2 linked regions of the Stegostoma tigrinum genome follow. The protein of the gene in region 1 interacts with the protein of each later gene in a pairwise test. Links are inferred from orthologs where the notes say so. Each region holds a gene or a part of one and is shown in the gene's direction. Other genes may lie near its edges.

The links. The genes of interacting proteins can lie anywhere in the genome.
Region 2: the proteins of ccndbp1 (region 1) and imp3 interact in binary tests that used the Homo sapiens proteins (3 or more experiments, as listed by UniProt). The two-hybrid records come from large-scale screens. The link is inferred for Stegostoma tigrinum from reciprocal best matches to the Homo sapiens genes CCNDBP1 and IMP3.

What each region holds. Positions count from the first base shown.
Region 1 is NC_081372.1:47,265,952-47,273,343, forward strand, and holds the start of ccndbp1 (cyclin-D1-binding protein 1 homolog), read left to right. Parts: upstream 1-4,290; 5' UTR 4,291-4,316; coding exon 4,317-4,434; intron 4,435-7,392. UniProt on the Homo sapiens protein: May negatively regulate cell cycle progression. May act at least in part via inhibition of the cyclin-D1/CDK4 complex, thereby preventing phosphorylation of RB1 and blocking E2F-dependent transcription.
Region 2 is NC_081361.1:10,773,825-10,781,887, reverse strand, and holds the start of imp3 (U3 small nucleolar ribonucleoprotein protein IMP3), read left to right. Parts: upstream 1-5,055; 5' UTR 5,056-5,322; coding exon 5,323-5,459; intron 5,460-8,063. UniProt on the Homo sapiens protein: Component of the 60-80S U3 small nucleolar ribonucleoprotein (U3 snoRNP). Required for the early cleavages during pre-18S ribosomal RNA processing. Part of the small subunit (SSU) processome, first precursor of the small eukaryotic ribosomal subunit.

The sequences.
Region 1 (7,392 bases):
ATGGATTTGGTCCAGTGGATTCAAGAAGGATTCCTGACACAGTATGTAGATAGACCAACATGAGGAGAGGCCACTTTGGATTTGTGCTTGGCAATGAACCGGACCAAGTGTTAGACCTGTTGTTAGGAGGGCATTTTGGCAGTAGTGATCATCACTCTGTTTCTTTTACAACAGTCATGGAAAAGGAAGGTACACACAGCAGGGTAAGGTTTATAATTGAGGGAAGGGTAATTACAATTCAGGCTAGAAGGCTAAAGGAGGTGCATGTTTGTAAGGAAGATGCACAAGGAATTTTGAGGAAATTGAAGATAGATAAGTTCCTGGGCCTGATGGGATTCAATGAGAAGTGAGGGAAGAGATCACAGGGCCTTTGGCGATGATCTTTGCATCCTCACTGTCCACGGGTATAGTGCCGGAAGATTGGAGAGTGGCAAACGTCATTTCCTTGTTCAAAAAACAGAATAGGGATAACCCTGGAAATTACAGGCTAGTTAGTGTTATGTCAGTGGTGGGCAAATTATTGGAAAAGGCTCTGACAGAGAGGATTTATGATCACTTGGATAGGCATAGTTTGATTCGTGATAGTCAGCATTGATTTGTGAGGGGTAGATCATGCCTCACAAACCTTATTGAATCCTTTGAAGAGGTGACCAAACACGTGGATGAAGGTAGAGCAGTGGATGTGGTATACATGGATTTAAGTAAGGCATTTGATAAGGTTCCCCATGGTAGGCTCATGCAGAAGGTAAGGAGGCATGGGATAGGGAAAGTGTGGCAGATTGGATTCAGAATTGGCTGACCCTTAGAATACAAAGGGTGTTAGTGGATGGAACATATTCAGCATGGTGCTCAGTTAAGAGTGGTGTACCACAAGGATCTGTTCTGGGTCCTCTTCTATTTGTGAATTTTGTAAATGATTTGGATGTAGGAGTGGAAGAGTGGATTAGTAAGTTCGCAGACAATACAAAGGTGAGTCGCTTTGACAATAGTGTGGATGGCTATTCTAGGTTACAAAGGGACATTGATAGGATGCAGAGGTGGGCTAAGAAGTGGCAGATGGAGTTTAACCCTGAAAAGTGTGAGGTGATACATTTTGGAAGGACAAATTTGAAAGCAGAATACAGGGTTAATGGAAAGATTTTTGGCAGCGTGGAGGAGCAGAGGGATCTTGGGGTTCATGTCCACAGTTCCCTAAAAGCTGCCACCCAGGTGGATAGAGTTGTTCGCAAAGCGTATAGTGTGTTAGCTTTCATTAATAGGGAGTTTGGGTTCAAGAGCTTTGAAGTTATGCTCCAGTTATACAAAACCCTGGTTTGGCCACATTTGGAGTATTGTGTCCGGTTCTGGTCGTCTCATGACAGGAAGGATGCAGAAATGTTGGAAAAGGTGCAGAGGAGATTTACCAGGGTGTTGCCGAGAATGGAGGGAGGGTCTTTTGAGGAAAAGTTGAGAAACCTAGGACTTTTCTCTTTATAATGACGAAGGATGAGAGGTGAATTGATAGAGGTGTACGAAATGATCAGAGGTATTGAGAGAGTGGATAGCCAGAGACTTTTTCCTAGGGGGGAGGTAGCTCATACGAGGGGGCGTAATTTTAAAGTGAGTGGAGGTAGAAATAGGGGAGACGTCAGAGGTAGGTTCTTTAGTCAGACAGTGGTAGGGGAATGGAATACATTGCCAGAGAGGGTAGTGGAGTCGGCCTCATTAGGGGCATTTACGTGGCATTTGGATGATAGTGTAAAGTAGGGGTGGAGGTTAGATAGACATAAGGCTTAGGGTAAAAGTTCGGCACAACATCTTTGTCCGAAGGGCCTGTACTGTTCTACGTTCTATGTTCAACATGGCTTTATGCAAGGCAGATCATTTCTTACTACCTTGATTGAATTTTTTGAGAAGGTGACGGAGGTGATCGGTGAGGGTAGAGCAGTGGATGTTGTTTACATGGATTTTAGTAAGGCTTTTGACCAGGTCCCTCATAGTAGGCACATCCAGAAGATTAAGACGCATGGAATCCACAGTGACTTGACAATGTGGGTTCAGGCTTGGCTTGCCATAGAAGACAGAGGGTAGTGGTGGAAGGCTGGTTTCTAGTCTGGAGGTCCATGACTAATGGTGTTTTGCAGGGGTCCGTGTTGGCAACTCTACACTTTTTAATACATATAAATGACTTACATGATAATATAGTTGGGTGGGTTATTATGTTTGCAGATGATACAAAGATTGGTGGAGTTGTGGATAGTGTAGAAGGTTGTCAAAGGATATAGCAGGATATCGCTCAATTGCAATCATGGGCAGATAAATGGCAGATGGAGTTTAATCTGGGTAAATATGAAGTGCTATGATTTGGGAGATCAAATGTTAACGAAACGTGTACAATTAATGGCAGAACTCTGAATGCCATTGATGTATAGAAGGAGATTGGGGTTCAAATCCATAGCTCCCTGAAAGTAGCCATACAAGTAGATAGGGGGTAAAGAACACGTGTGGCATGCTTGCCTTTATTGGTTGGAGAACTGAGTACAAGAGTCAGGATGTCATGCTGCAACTTATTAAGAATTTAGTTCGGCCACATTTAGAGTATTATGTTTAATTCTGGATGTGAGTTTGCTTGCTGAGCTGGAAGGTTAGTTTTCAGACGTTTCGTCACCATTCTAGGTAACATCATCAGTGAGCCTCCGACAAAGCGCTGGTGTTATGTCCCACTTTCTATTTATCTGTTTAGGTTTCCTTGGGTTGGTGATGTCGTTTCCTGTTCTTTTTCTCAGAGGATGGTAGATTGATTTGGAGCCAATGTGTTTGTGGATGGAGTTCCGGTTGGAATGCCATGCTCCTAGGAATTCTCGTGCGTGTCTCTGTTTGGCTTGTCCTAGGATGGATGTGTTGTCCCAATCAAAATGGTGTCCTTCCTCATCTGTATGTAAGGATACAAGTGATAGTGAGTCATATCGTTTTGTGGCTAGCTGATGTTCATGTATCCTGGTGGCTAGCTTTCTGCCTGTTTGTCACAATGTAGTGTTTGTCACAGTTCTTGAAAAGTATTTTGTAAATGATGTTTGTTTTGCTTGTTGTCTGTATAGGGTCTTTTAAGTTCATTAGCTGCTGTTTTAGTGTGTTGGTGGGTTGGTGGGCTACCCTGATGCCAAGAGGTCCGAGTAGTCTGGCAGTCATTTCGGAAATGTCTTTGATGTAGGGGAGAGCGGTTATGGTTTCTGGGCCCATTTTGTCTGTTTGTTCGGGTTTGTTGCTGAGAAATCGGCAGACTGTGTTCATTGGGTACCCATTCTTTTTGAATATGCTGTATAGGTGATTTTCTTCTGCTCTTCGTAGTTCCTCTGTGCTGCAGTGTGTGGTGGCTCGTTGGAATAATGTTCTAATGCAGCTTCGTTTGTGGGTGTCGGGATGGTTACTCCTGTAGTTCAGTATTTGGTCTGTATGTGTTGTTTTCCCGTAGACGCTGGTTCGAAGTTTCCCATTGACTGTTGGCTCTACTAGAAATAAATAGGGAGAGAGGGGGAAGCAGACCGAAGATGGATAGAGGAGAAGATAGGTGGAGAGGAGAGTATGGGTGGGGAGGTAGGGAGGGGATAGGTCAGTCCAGGGAGGAGGGATAGGTTAAGGAGGCGGGATGAGGTTGGTAGGTAGGAAATGCAGGAGTGGCTTGAGGTGGGAGGAGGGGATAGGTGAGAGGAAGAACAGGTCAGGGAGGCAGGGACGAGCTGGGCTGGTTATGGGATGCAGTGGGGGGAGGGGATGAGCTGGGTTGGTTTTGGGATGCGGTGGGGGGAGGGGAGATTTTGAAGCTTGTGAAATCCACATTGATACCATTGGGCTGCAGGGTTCCCAAGCAGAATATGAGTTGCTGTTCTTTACTAACGTGCTGCCTGAATTAAAAATTTCAAATTTTCACCATCTGCTTTTCAACGAAGGGCTTGACTACTCCCTTCACCACCGCATTTACCGTGAACCCGGCCTCGTCTACTGGCCCCGTCAATCTCCATGCATCTGAGATAACAAAGTGTGGAGCTGGATGAACACAGCAGGCCAAGCAGCATCTCAGGAGCACAAAAGCTGACGTTTCGGGCCTAGACCCTTCATCAGAGACGCTTTTGTGCTCCTAAGATGCTGCTTGGCCTGCTGTGTTCATCCAGCTCCACACTTTGTTATCTTGGATTCTCCAGCATCTGCAGTTCCCATTACCTGTGCATCCAGTCAGGCCCCGCCCTACCTCTGGTCCCGCCCATTCATCCGTAACGACCCAGCCTCCGCCCACCAGTCCTGCCTGCTACAGCGGGCCCCGCCCCCGAGCTTGCGTCAAGATGGAGGAGCTGCTTTCGGCTGCGTGTGAGACCATGGACTCGGAGGCGAACGATGATCTGCGGTTGCCGCTGCGGAACCTTGCGAACGGCCTGAGGGAGGTGGTGTCGCAGCTGCGAGGTGAGTTCGGCTGATTCCAGGGAGCAGGCCTCAGGATCTTCCAACAGCAGAGATCCCGGGGTTGGGGGAGAGGACTGCTGACACCAGACAGGGCCTCTACCTGAAGGACCCCACTTTGTCTGTGGGTGTACGGACATGTACTGGCATCTACCGCAACACCCGAGTGACAGTGAAAGGAGCGATAATGGGGTAACAGCCGGCCCTAGGAGCTCAGAGCCAGTGGAAATAGCGGCAGCAGTCTAGTGTTTGCGTGTAATTAGTGATAATGGGAACTGCAGATGCTGGAGGATCCGAGATAACAAAGTGTGGGGCTGGATGAACACAATAGGCACTAAGCAGCATCTCAGGAGCACAAAAGCTGACGTTTCGGGCCTAGTCTACCTGATCCAATCTTACAGGCTGGGATCCAATAGAGGGGCTCTAAGTTGTTTATATTCCTAATCGAGCCTCAAATGGACAAGTTCATCTATTTACTTCCTCCATATTGTTTCAGCAGACTTCTGACTAGCGTCCTATCTCCTTTCTCTGTCCCCTTCCCCGCCTTTTGAGTTAATATAAAACTCAGTTAGCTGTATTCTCATTTAAGTCCAAATACAGAAACAAAAATTCTGAAGTTTTTTAAAAAATGCAGAAAATGCTCAATGGGTCAGACATCAGCCGTGGCGAGAGATTCGGAATTAATATTTCAAGCCTGGAACCGTCCTGATGAAAAGTCTGAAATGTTAACTATTTCTTTACTCACCATTGTTGCTAACCCACTGTGTTCTTCAGCATTTCTGTTAATTTTACTTGCCTTCCTCCCTGTGCTCGTCATTTAGCATTGGCCTCTGGTATGTTACAGCTTTGCAAGTTTGAATTGCTTTTCTGTTATGTATGACTAAATTGAACACCCACTATTTTACTTGACCTTCCAAACAAGCCCTCCAAGAGATCTGTATAGTCAATTCCATTTGCCTGCGTGTCCCTCCTGTCAAACTGCATAATTTAATGTAGTTGTGGATGTTCTCTTCACTCCTCCCCGCCCCCAATAGTGAAGTTTAAGGGACCTTTAAATGTGTGTACAGCCATGAATGTAGTTAAACCTTGCACAGTCAAATCTTGTGGGTCAGTGAAAATAAAAATAAAGTCACTATTTTGCATCTTCTCAGTCTTTCATGCCTCTGCTCCTAACTCGACCAACTTTCCTGAATGCCCTTCTGCTCTCAACTCATAATTTGGAATCTTGTATTCTGTTTGGTTCTGTTTCACAACCCCTTTCCCATCATTGAAATTTTTTTTCTGTCTTGTCGCAGCCTTCGGTATCAATTTCAAGTCTTTGTTTTTATCTTTGAAGACTTCTAGCCATGTCCCACTCTGCCTCAGAAAGCTTCTTTAGCATCTTGGTCAGCCTCACTGTCAGTTTAGAAGGAGAAAGAAAATTACAAGTGCCTGATAATTTACAGGGTGCTATTTTAAAAGCAAAATCACGAATAGGATGTGGTCATTGCTTGCTGGGCCAGCATTTTTTGCCTGTATCTAGCTGTCCTTGAGAAAATGGTGGTGTTCTGCCACCTTGAATTGCGGTGATAAATTTGTGTAAGTACCTTCACAATGCCATTGCACCATAAGAAAAAGGAATGGGAGTGGACTGTTTAGTTCCTCAAGCCTGTTCTGTTATCCAGAAGATTCAGCCACTCCTCATATTCACTTTCCTGCCCTTTCCCTTGACCCTTGATTTGTCTACTGATCAAGAATTTCTCTATCTTGGCCTTGAATATGTGCAAGGTCTCTGTGGAAAGGAATTAAGGAGGGCTTTCTAAGATTTTGATCCAGTGACGTTCAAGGAGCGGCAATAATAAGTGACTTGGGAGGAAACTTGTGGATTAGACATGAATGTATGAAATAACTAATCAACAGTCATAAAACTGATAGACTGAAGTTCTGTTTGTTGAAAGCATTAGTTATCACAATTCTACCCTAAAGAAGAATAACTCACCAATAACTGATGACTTTTCAAAGATTTTTGGGTTATCAGTGGACTCAACACAGCCACTAACAAACCATTGTAATCATTTTTCTGAGGAGTAACACTTGGAAGAATGGTTCTCTTGTAATGCTGAAATTTGTCAGTGGTAGACCTAGCAAGATGATTGTTATACCTAATGGTATCAGAGATAATGGGAACTGCAGATGCTGGAGAACTCCAAGATAGTAAAATGTGAGGCTGGATGAACACAGCAGGCCAAGCAGCATCTCAGGAGCACAAAAGCTGACGTTTCGGGCCTAGACCCTTCATCAGAGAGGGGGATGGGGAGAGGGAACTGGAATAAATAGGGAGAGAGGGGGAGGTGGACCGAAGATGGAGAGTAAAGAAGATAGGTGGAGAGAGTATAGGTGGGGAGGTAGGGAGGGGATAGGTCAGTCCAGGGAAGACGGACAGGTCAAGGAGGTGGGATGAGGTAAGTAGGTAGCTGGGGGTGCGGCTTGGGGTGGGAGGAAGGGATGGGTGAGAGGAAGAACCGGTTAGGGAGGCAGAGACAGGTTGGACTGGTTTTGGGATGCAGTGGGTGGGGGGAAGAGCTGGGCTGGTTGTGTGGTGCAGTGGGGGGAGGGGATGAACTGGGCTGGTTTAGGGATGCAGTAGGGGAAGGGGAGATTTTGAAACTGGTGAAGTCCACATTGATACCATATGGCTGCAGGGTTCCCAGGCAGAATGAGTTGCTGTTCCTGCAACCTTCGGGTGGCATCATTGTGGCACTGCAGGAGGCCCATGATGGACATGTCATCTAGAGAATGGGAGGGGGAGTGGAAATGGTTTGCGACTGGGAGGTGCAGTTGTTTGTTGCGAACTGAGCGGAGGTGTTCTGCAAAGCGGTCCCCAAGCCTCCGCTTGGTTTCCCCAATGTAGAGGAAGCCTCACCGGGTACAGTGGATGCAGTATACCACATTGGCAGATGTGCAGGTGAACCTCTGCTTAAT
Region 2 (8,063 bases), on another chromosome or scaffold:
TTAGGTCCCTTTTAAATCTTTCTCCTCTCACCTTAAAGCAATGCCCTCTGGTGTTGGACTCCCCGACCCTATGGAAAAAGGCTTTTGCTATTTACCCTTATATATGCCCCTCATGATTTTATAAAACTCTATTACATCACCCCTCAGCCTCTGACACTCCAGCCTATGCAGCATCTCCTTATAGCTCAAACCTCCTAACCCGGGCAACATCCTTGTAAATCTTTTCTGAACCCTTTCAAGTTTCACAACATCCTTCCTACAGCAAGGAGACCAGAACTGCACACAGTACTCCAAAAGTGGCCAAACCAATGTCCTGTACAGCCACAACATGACCTTCCAACTCTCACACAAAGCACTGACCAATAAAGGCAAACATACTAAACACCTTCTTCACTACCTGTCTACTTGCAACTCCACTTTCAAGGAACTATTAGCCTGTACTCCAAGGTCGCTTTGTTCAGCAACAATCACAGGACCTTACCATTAAGTGTATAGGTCCTTCCCTGATTGAATTTCCAAAATGCAACATATCACATTTATATAAACCTCATTTGCCACTCCTTGGCCCATTGCCTCACCTGATCAAGGTCCCATTGTACTCTGAGGTAACCTTCTTATAAATGTTTCACTGTACTCATTTGAGTACACATGATAATAAAGCTAATTCTAATTCTAGATGTAAAATAATATTTCAATTATCTGGATGACGATGCCAGGAGAAAGCCACGTGCATATTTTGAGACTTTGTCTTACTGTTATAATTTTCCATTAACGCTCTCACCAGAATTCATGGCACAATGTTACTGTTGTTTCTCTTAAAAGTTTTCTGAGTCACACTGCCATGTACAGCGGAATCCACAAATATTTGGGAGATTAGCATTCAGTGGTTCAATTGATGCCATAGAGGTTTTCCATTCCAATGTGCCAGGATTTCCTTATTCATTACCCCGGTGAGTTTTTTTTGCATTTATGTTCAAAGAGAAATTTCACTCGAAGAAAATGTACCATTGTTCCTAATTCAAACAGCTTAAAGTAATGTACTTACAGGCATTTTTTTTCTGAGATTTTTGGAACTGTTCAAAAATTGTAACGATGCCACTTAATAACAGGTATCCAGTGTCAGAGTTTCCAGCCTCTTGTACATAATCTGAGGAGGCTGCACCTTAACATCTGGTTCAACATATCTCCAATGTTTATGTAGAATGCTGCGCAAGTCCAAAGCCTTTCTACTTGTAGAACTGGGCTTAGCGAGAATGGGCATCCAGTGTCTGTTCAACTCGTAAACCATGTTCAAAGCTCTCACAGGTGGCCCATTATGTCAGGAATATCATTCACTATTTTATGAGATATTTCTTATGACCAGTAATCACTTAAGGAAATTGAGAGCAGATCTGTTCAAATTGTGCATTTATTTTGAGAGAGTGTAGGGAAAATTTATTGTCTGTTTATGCGGATCATCTGTCGTTTTCACCACATGTATCCTTTTGAGGAGGGATGTTTGAAATAATTTGGTAGGTATTAATGGATGCTGGCTGAGTCTTAGAAACCCGTGTGGGAGAGCTCCCAGCAGGGGAGCAGCTAAGTGGCTTTTTAAACTGTAACATTCCTGTTTGTTTTGTAAAGCTACAATAGTGAGTAGAATGGGTTCTTTTTTGATTATATGCTTTACTGAAATCTCTCTCCTGGTTAAATGTTAAACATATAAAATATAGGTACTAAGTTAGCCAGGAGTTTTTTTTTTAAGAGCAATACCACTGCTATTTTCTGGCAGACAGTTAAGATGCAAAGATGTCCTTTCGTAGAGTGATGTGCTCTAACTGTTGAATGTGGAAGATTAGGGAGAATTTCCATGTTTCATGATGATCACATCTGCATGAAGCGTGTTTGACTGTGAATTCTATCAGCTTGCACGGACCAGCAGTTAAAGGCAATGAGGAGTCTACAGAAGACAGGGGATGGGATAGATGGCTGCTGTGGGAAGGGAGGAAAACCACAGATACAGTCAGGCAGATGAGTTACCACCAGGAAAGGGAGGCGAGTCACTCAGGAATCTCCTGTGGCTATCCCCATCTGAAACATGCATGCTGTTTTGGAAAATATAGGGGATGACAGACTCTCAGGGAAATGTAGCACTAACAGCCAGGTTTCTGGTACTGAGACTGGCTCTAATAGTGAGGGGTATGTCAGGTTTCAAGTGATCGACTGCAATAGGGGACTCTCTAGTCAGAAGCACAGTCAGATGTTTCTGCGGCCAACAGTGAGAAATCAGAATGCTGTGTTGCCTCCCTGGTGCCAGGGTCAAGGATATCTCAGAGAAGGTGCAGAATATTCTCAAAGGGGAGAGGGATCAGCAAGAGGTTTTTGTACACATTGGAACTAACAACACAGGAAGAGAAAAGAATGTGATTCTGAGGAGAGAATAGAGAAAGTTAGACAGGAATTTTAAAAGGTGTTCCTTGAGGATAGTAATATCTGGATCACCCCCTGTGCCACGAGTTAGTGAGGATAGGAATTGGAGGGTGGAGCAGATGAATGCATGGTTGAGGAGCTGGTGCAGGGGAGAAGGATTCACATTTTTTGGATCATTGGACTGTCTTCTTGGGTAGAAGTGACCTTATAAGTAGGGTGGATTGCACCTGAATTGGAAGGGGTCTAATTTACAGACTGGGAGACAGAACTGCTCGGGAAGATTTTAACTAACAAAGCGGGTGGTGGTGCTGGGACTCAGGGAGATAGTGAGGAAAGAGATCAATCAGGTACAGCAATTTCTTATCGTGAATTCCCTATAATGCGATTTTCTTTTGCATGAGTACAGTTGGAAAAAGATCAAGTCAAACAGTCAGGACAGAGCAGAGAATGAGGCAGGACTGATAAATTAAACTGCATTTATTTCAAGGCAAGAAGCCTAAAAAGTAAGGAAGATGAACCTAGGGTGAGTTGGGAACATGGGACTGGGATGTCATAGTAATTATAGGGATGTGGCTTGAGGTTGGACAGGATTGGTAGCTTCATTTTCCAGGGTATAGATGCTACGGGAATGATAGTTGGAAGGTCATGTTGCGCTGTACAGGACATTGGTTTGGCCACTATTGGAGCACTGTGTGCTTTTGTTGGTCATTGAATTGAGTATAGGAGTTGGTCATGTGAAGGCTGTAGAGGACATTGGTTAGGCCACTTTCGAAATATCTTGTGCAATTCTGGTCTCTCTGCTACAGGAAGGATGTTGTGAAATTTGAAAGAGTTGAAGGACTGAGCTATAAGGAGAGGCTAAGCAGGCTGGGGCTAATTTCCCTGGAGCGTCAGAGGGTAAGGCACAGGCTATTCCCAGACAGTATCAGTATCACAAGATATATTGACATGACCACATTGTTTTTTGTTGGATCTGGCACTGCACAAATGAGTTTCCCACATTAAAACAGTGCCTATACTCCCTTAATTGGCTGGAAGGTAGCCTGAAGGGGTGGGGGTGGGGTTAAATGAATGGAGATTTTTTTCCCTGAAGCACAAAGACTCCTACATAAGCCTCACTTCTCACTCATAGATGCTCACCTCACTCTTGTAGATTCAACTACTCTCTTTCCTGTAAATGAGACTGTAAGACATAGCAGCAGGCCATTATGCCCATCAAGTCTGTCTGCTATTCAAGAAGATCACATCTGATCTGATAATATTCAACTCGAGTTTCCCGCCTTTTCCCCATAACACTCGATTCTGTTACTGATTAGAAAACTATCTCAGCCTTGAATATACGTAATGGCTCAGCCTTGACAGCCCTCTATGGTAAAGAATTCCACAGAAATAATCCTCCTAATCTGTTTTAAATGGGCTACTTCTTACTCTGACATTGTTGCCTTTGCTCCTAGAGTCTCCCACAACCTCTTCACATTACCGAGCCAAGTCCCCTAAGAATCTAACGCAGGTAGTTCTGCTATAACACTTTTTTTGTTGAAGTGAATTGGCTGTAATGAGATTGATGAATAGTGGACGCTGTTTGCGTAACACAAACTTTCTGCTGTACAGGTACAGCAATTTCTTATCATGAATTCCCTATAATGCGATTTTCTTTTGCATGAGGTTATGCAAGAATGCAACTATCATGTTACAGGAGAACTACTTGTGTTTCAATAAGGTCTCCTCTCACACTTCTAAACTCCAATGAGTACAAGCCCTCTCCTCATAACAGAATTCCTCCACATCTGAGATCAACCTCGTGAACCTCTCTGGGCTCCAATGCCAGTACATCTTTCCTTAAATGAGTGGACCAAAATTGTTCATAGTATTCCAGCTATGGGCTGACTCATGCTTTCCATAGTTTAGCAAGACCCCTATTTTTGTATTCCATTTCCTTTGAAACTAATTCCAACAACCTAATTGCCTACTCCTAAACTTGGATGCTAGCTGTTTCTATGAGGTCTCCCCAAATCCCTCTGTGCTGCAGCTCCCTGCAATCTTTCCCCGTTTTGAATAATATTCGGTCTTCATCATTTCTTCCAAAATTCATGACTTCTGATTTTCCCATATCATATTCATTCACCTATTTTTGTCACTTTTTGCTCTCTCCCCTGTTGGTTTTATCTTGCTGTCCCTCTATATTCCCTCTGCCCTAGAGAAACACAGCCTCTCCACCACACCCACCCAGTATATTCTCGTCCTTCTGTATATCGTTTCTGCCCATTTATTCCTTCTTCTCTATAGTTTTCTCTCCATCCCCTTTGTATATTCTCACACTCTCTTGTAGAGCACGATTGCCTCTCCTCCTCCTTTCCTCCTGTAGTAGCTCCCTCACACCCTCCCCTCCTCCTGCAGAAACTCCTTCACTCCTGTATTAGTTCCCTCACACACACACTCTCTCTCCCCTGGATATAAATTCCTCCACTCACTCTCTCCTTACCTAATTGCTCTCCTTCCCTCCTGCACTCTCCCTCCCTTCTGTATAAGTTCCTTCATTCCCTCTCTCTCTCTTCCCCTTCTGTACAAATTCCTTCATTATCTCTCTGTCTCTTCCCCTTTTGCATAAATTCCATCATTCTCTCTCTGTCTCTTCCCCTTCTGTATAAATTCCTTCATTCTCTCTCTCTCTCTGTCTCTCCCCCTTCTGTAAAAATTCCTTCATTCTCTGTCTCTCCCCCTTCTGTACAAATTCCTTCATTCTCTGTCTCTCCCCCTTCTGTACAAATTCCTTCATTCTCTGTCTCTCCCCCTTCTGTACAAATTCCTTCATTCTCCATCTCTGTACACAGTCTCTGCCAACTCTGTGGTATTCTTGCTGAGAACAGGCAGCTCCGCAGGCAGCACGACCTCTCATCGAGGACCCCGGTAACCATGGTGCGCAAGCTGAAGTACCACGAGCAGAAGCTGCTGAAAAAAGTCGATTTTATCTCCTGGGAGGTGGACAATAACCTGAGCGAAGTGAAAGTGCTACGCCGGTACCGCATCCAGCGCAGAGAGGATTACACCAAGTGAGTATGACAGCGGCTCAGGCGGCCGAACGGGTGGAAACACGGGGCGCCGCCATGTTGGCCAGGCCTTAGCAACGGATCCGTGCTCCCCTGAAGACAGTTCCCACCCTCTCTTGGCAACGACACACTGCCGCCCCTTCTCTGCAGGTCACTCCGTACGGTCACCTGGGGCTAGAATCAAACCTGGCCCTGTGAAGCAGCAGTGATGATCGCTGAGCCACCGTGCTGCCCCATGAGACACCTCTGATGGCTGTAGGGAGTGTATTCTTCCTTTGCCCTGTGCTTGAGCTCCTTCTATAGACCCTTCAGCCTTTATGTAGGGTACTGTCAGTTCACTCATCTGGCCAAAGTCTAGTCTCTGATTTGATTTGATTTGATTTGATTTGATTTAGTTTTTATCGCCACATGTGCAATCAAGAGCTTCGTTTATGAGCGGTACAGGAAAATCACAGCAAGCAAAGGATGTACAGATCAAAAAGACTTAGAAGCATATAGGTTACGTTACGTGTTAGATTATTTGAGGCTGGAGTTCATTGAACAGTTTGATAATGGCGGGAAAGAAGCTATTCCTGAACCTGCTTGTATTTCTGTTCAGGCTTCTGTATCTTATGCCTGACGGAAGCGGTTTAGGAGGTCATTACCAGGTATAATGGTTCTTTGATGATGTTAGCTGCTTTTCTGTGGGAGCAAGCTGTATAAATGGAGTCAAGGTCGGCACGGTGGCTGAGTGGTTAGCACTGCTGCCTCACAGCGCCAGCGGCCTGGGTTCGATTTTCCCCCTCAGACTGTAGGGAGTTTGCACCTTCTCCCCATGTCTGTTTGGGTTTTCCCCAGGTGCTCTGGTTTCCTCCCACAGTCCAAAGATGTGTGGGCTAGGTGGATTAACCATGCTAGGTTGCATGTAGTATTCAGGGATGTGTAGATTAGGTGGGTTTGAGGAATGGGTCTAGGTGGGATGTTTTGAGGGGCAGTGTGGACTTGTTGGGCTTAGGGGCCTGTTTTCAGACTGTATGGATTCTGTGAATAAAATCTATGAGTCTGTGCTTGGAAGATTAGCTTCCCTGATGGTCTGGGCTGTGCACACCACCTTTTGTAGTTTTTTTACGGTCCTGGGCAGAGCAATTGCCATACCGGGCCATTATGCACCTGGACAGTATGCTTTCAGTGGTGCATCTGTAGAAGTTGGCGAGGGGCCTTATGAGTGTGCCAAATTTCCTGAGGAAGAAGAGGCGTTGTGCCTTTTTTACTGTTGCATTTATGTGGGAAGTCCAGGACAGGTCATCGTTTATCGTCATACTGAGGAACTTCATGCTACTCGCTCTGTTAGCCTCAGTTCCATTGATGTGGATGGGGACATGTTCTCCTTTTTCTTTCCGAAGTCGATGATCAGTTCTTTAGTTTTCCCGCCGTTGAGAGACAGATTGTTTTCATTGCACCATATCACCAAACTGTCGGTCTCCCTTCTGTATTTTGACTCTTCGTTGTTAGATATTCATCTCACTATGGTGGTGTTGTCGGTGAACTTGTAGTTGCTCTACGTTGTGCGGTGTAGTATTTTCAGTCCTGTCCTGCCTCATCACCTGGCATGTGTAATGGAGGTACATGCTGGACATCAGGCAAAGCAGCATCTGAAAAGGCATGTTTAAGTTTTAACTATGTTTCCACTTGAAAGTTTAAGGCAGGGAAAGATGAGAGAATAGAATTGATAGCCCTGGTTATTCCAAAGCTTACACATGCAGGACAAAAGGATGCCATTGATTCATTGTGCTTGTGCCATTTCTTAAAGGCAGCTATCCAATTAGTTTCTGTCCTCTGCTTTATCTCATAACCCTAAAATTTATTGTAACTTTTAGGCATATATTCACAGAACTTTCTCTTCAAAGATACTGTGACTTATTCTACATCTATTTGAGAAGACTGTCCAACAATGCGTTCATTCCTAAAATGACGTAAAAGTTTTCTTAGCGTTAGAATCCAGACTTAGGAGTTAGGAATTGGAGGAATGAAGTGTTAGAAATAAGAAAAGTCACAATGAGGCAAAATAGCTTGCAGGTGCTGCCAAAATACAAACAATTATTTGGAAAATTTACTGTTTGTAATGCTGAGAGGCTACTGCACAGACTAACCTTCTAACAGAAGTGCACCCAAGCATCCTGCCTGTTGACTTCTATGCCTGCCTGTTAAAATTTCAAATCCTTTGTTGGTGTACTGATCAACTCTGCTTCCTTGTACTCTCTTGTGTGCAGTGTGTGCATTGGGTTTCATTATGTTCCTGGACCAGTAAGTCAGAAGATGACCCAAAACCGGAGTTCACTTCTCATTGTGACAGTTGAGAAATTTAAGTTCAGTTAAATAAATTTAGAATAAAAAACACGTCAGTAATAGCAAGCATGAATCTAGTGCAAAAAAACCCCACCTGATTCACAGTGTCCTTTTGGGAAGCAAATCCTTACCTAATTTAGACTACAAGTGATTCTCTATCCGTAACTACTTTTTGGGTGGCTAAGCATTATGAATTGTTTAGTGTTAGCTTCGTCAATGTAAGAACACAAGTACACCCTGCCCATTTGACCCTGCAAAGTTCTTGTGCCAGATTTGTAAGCG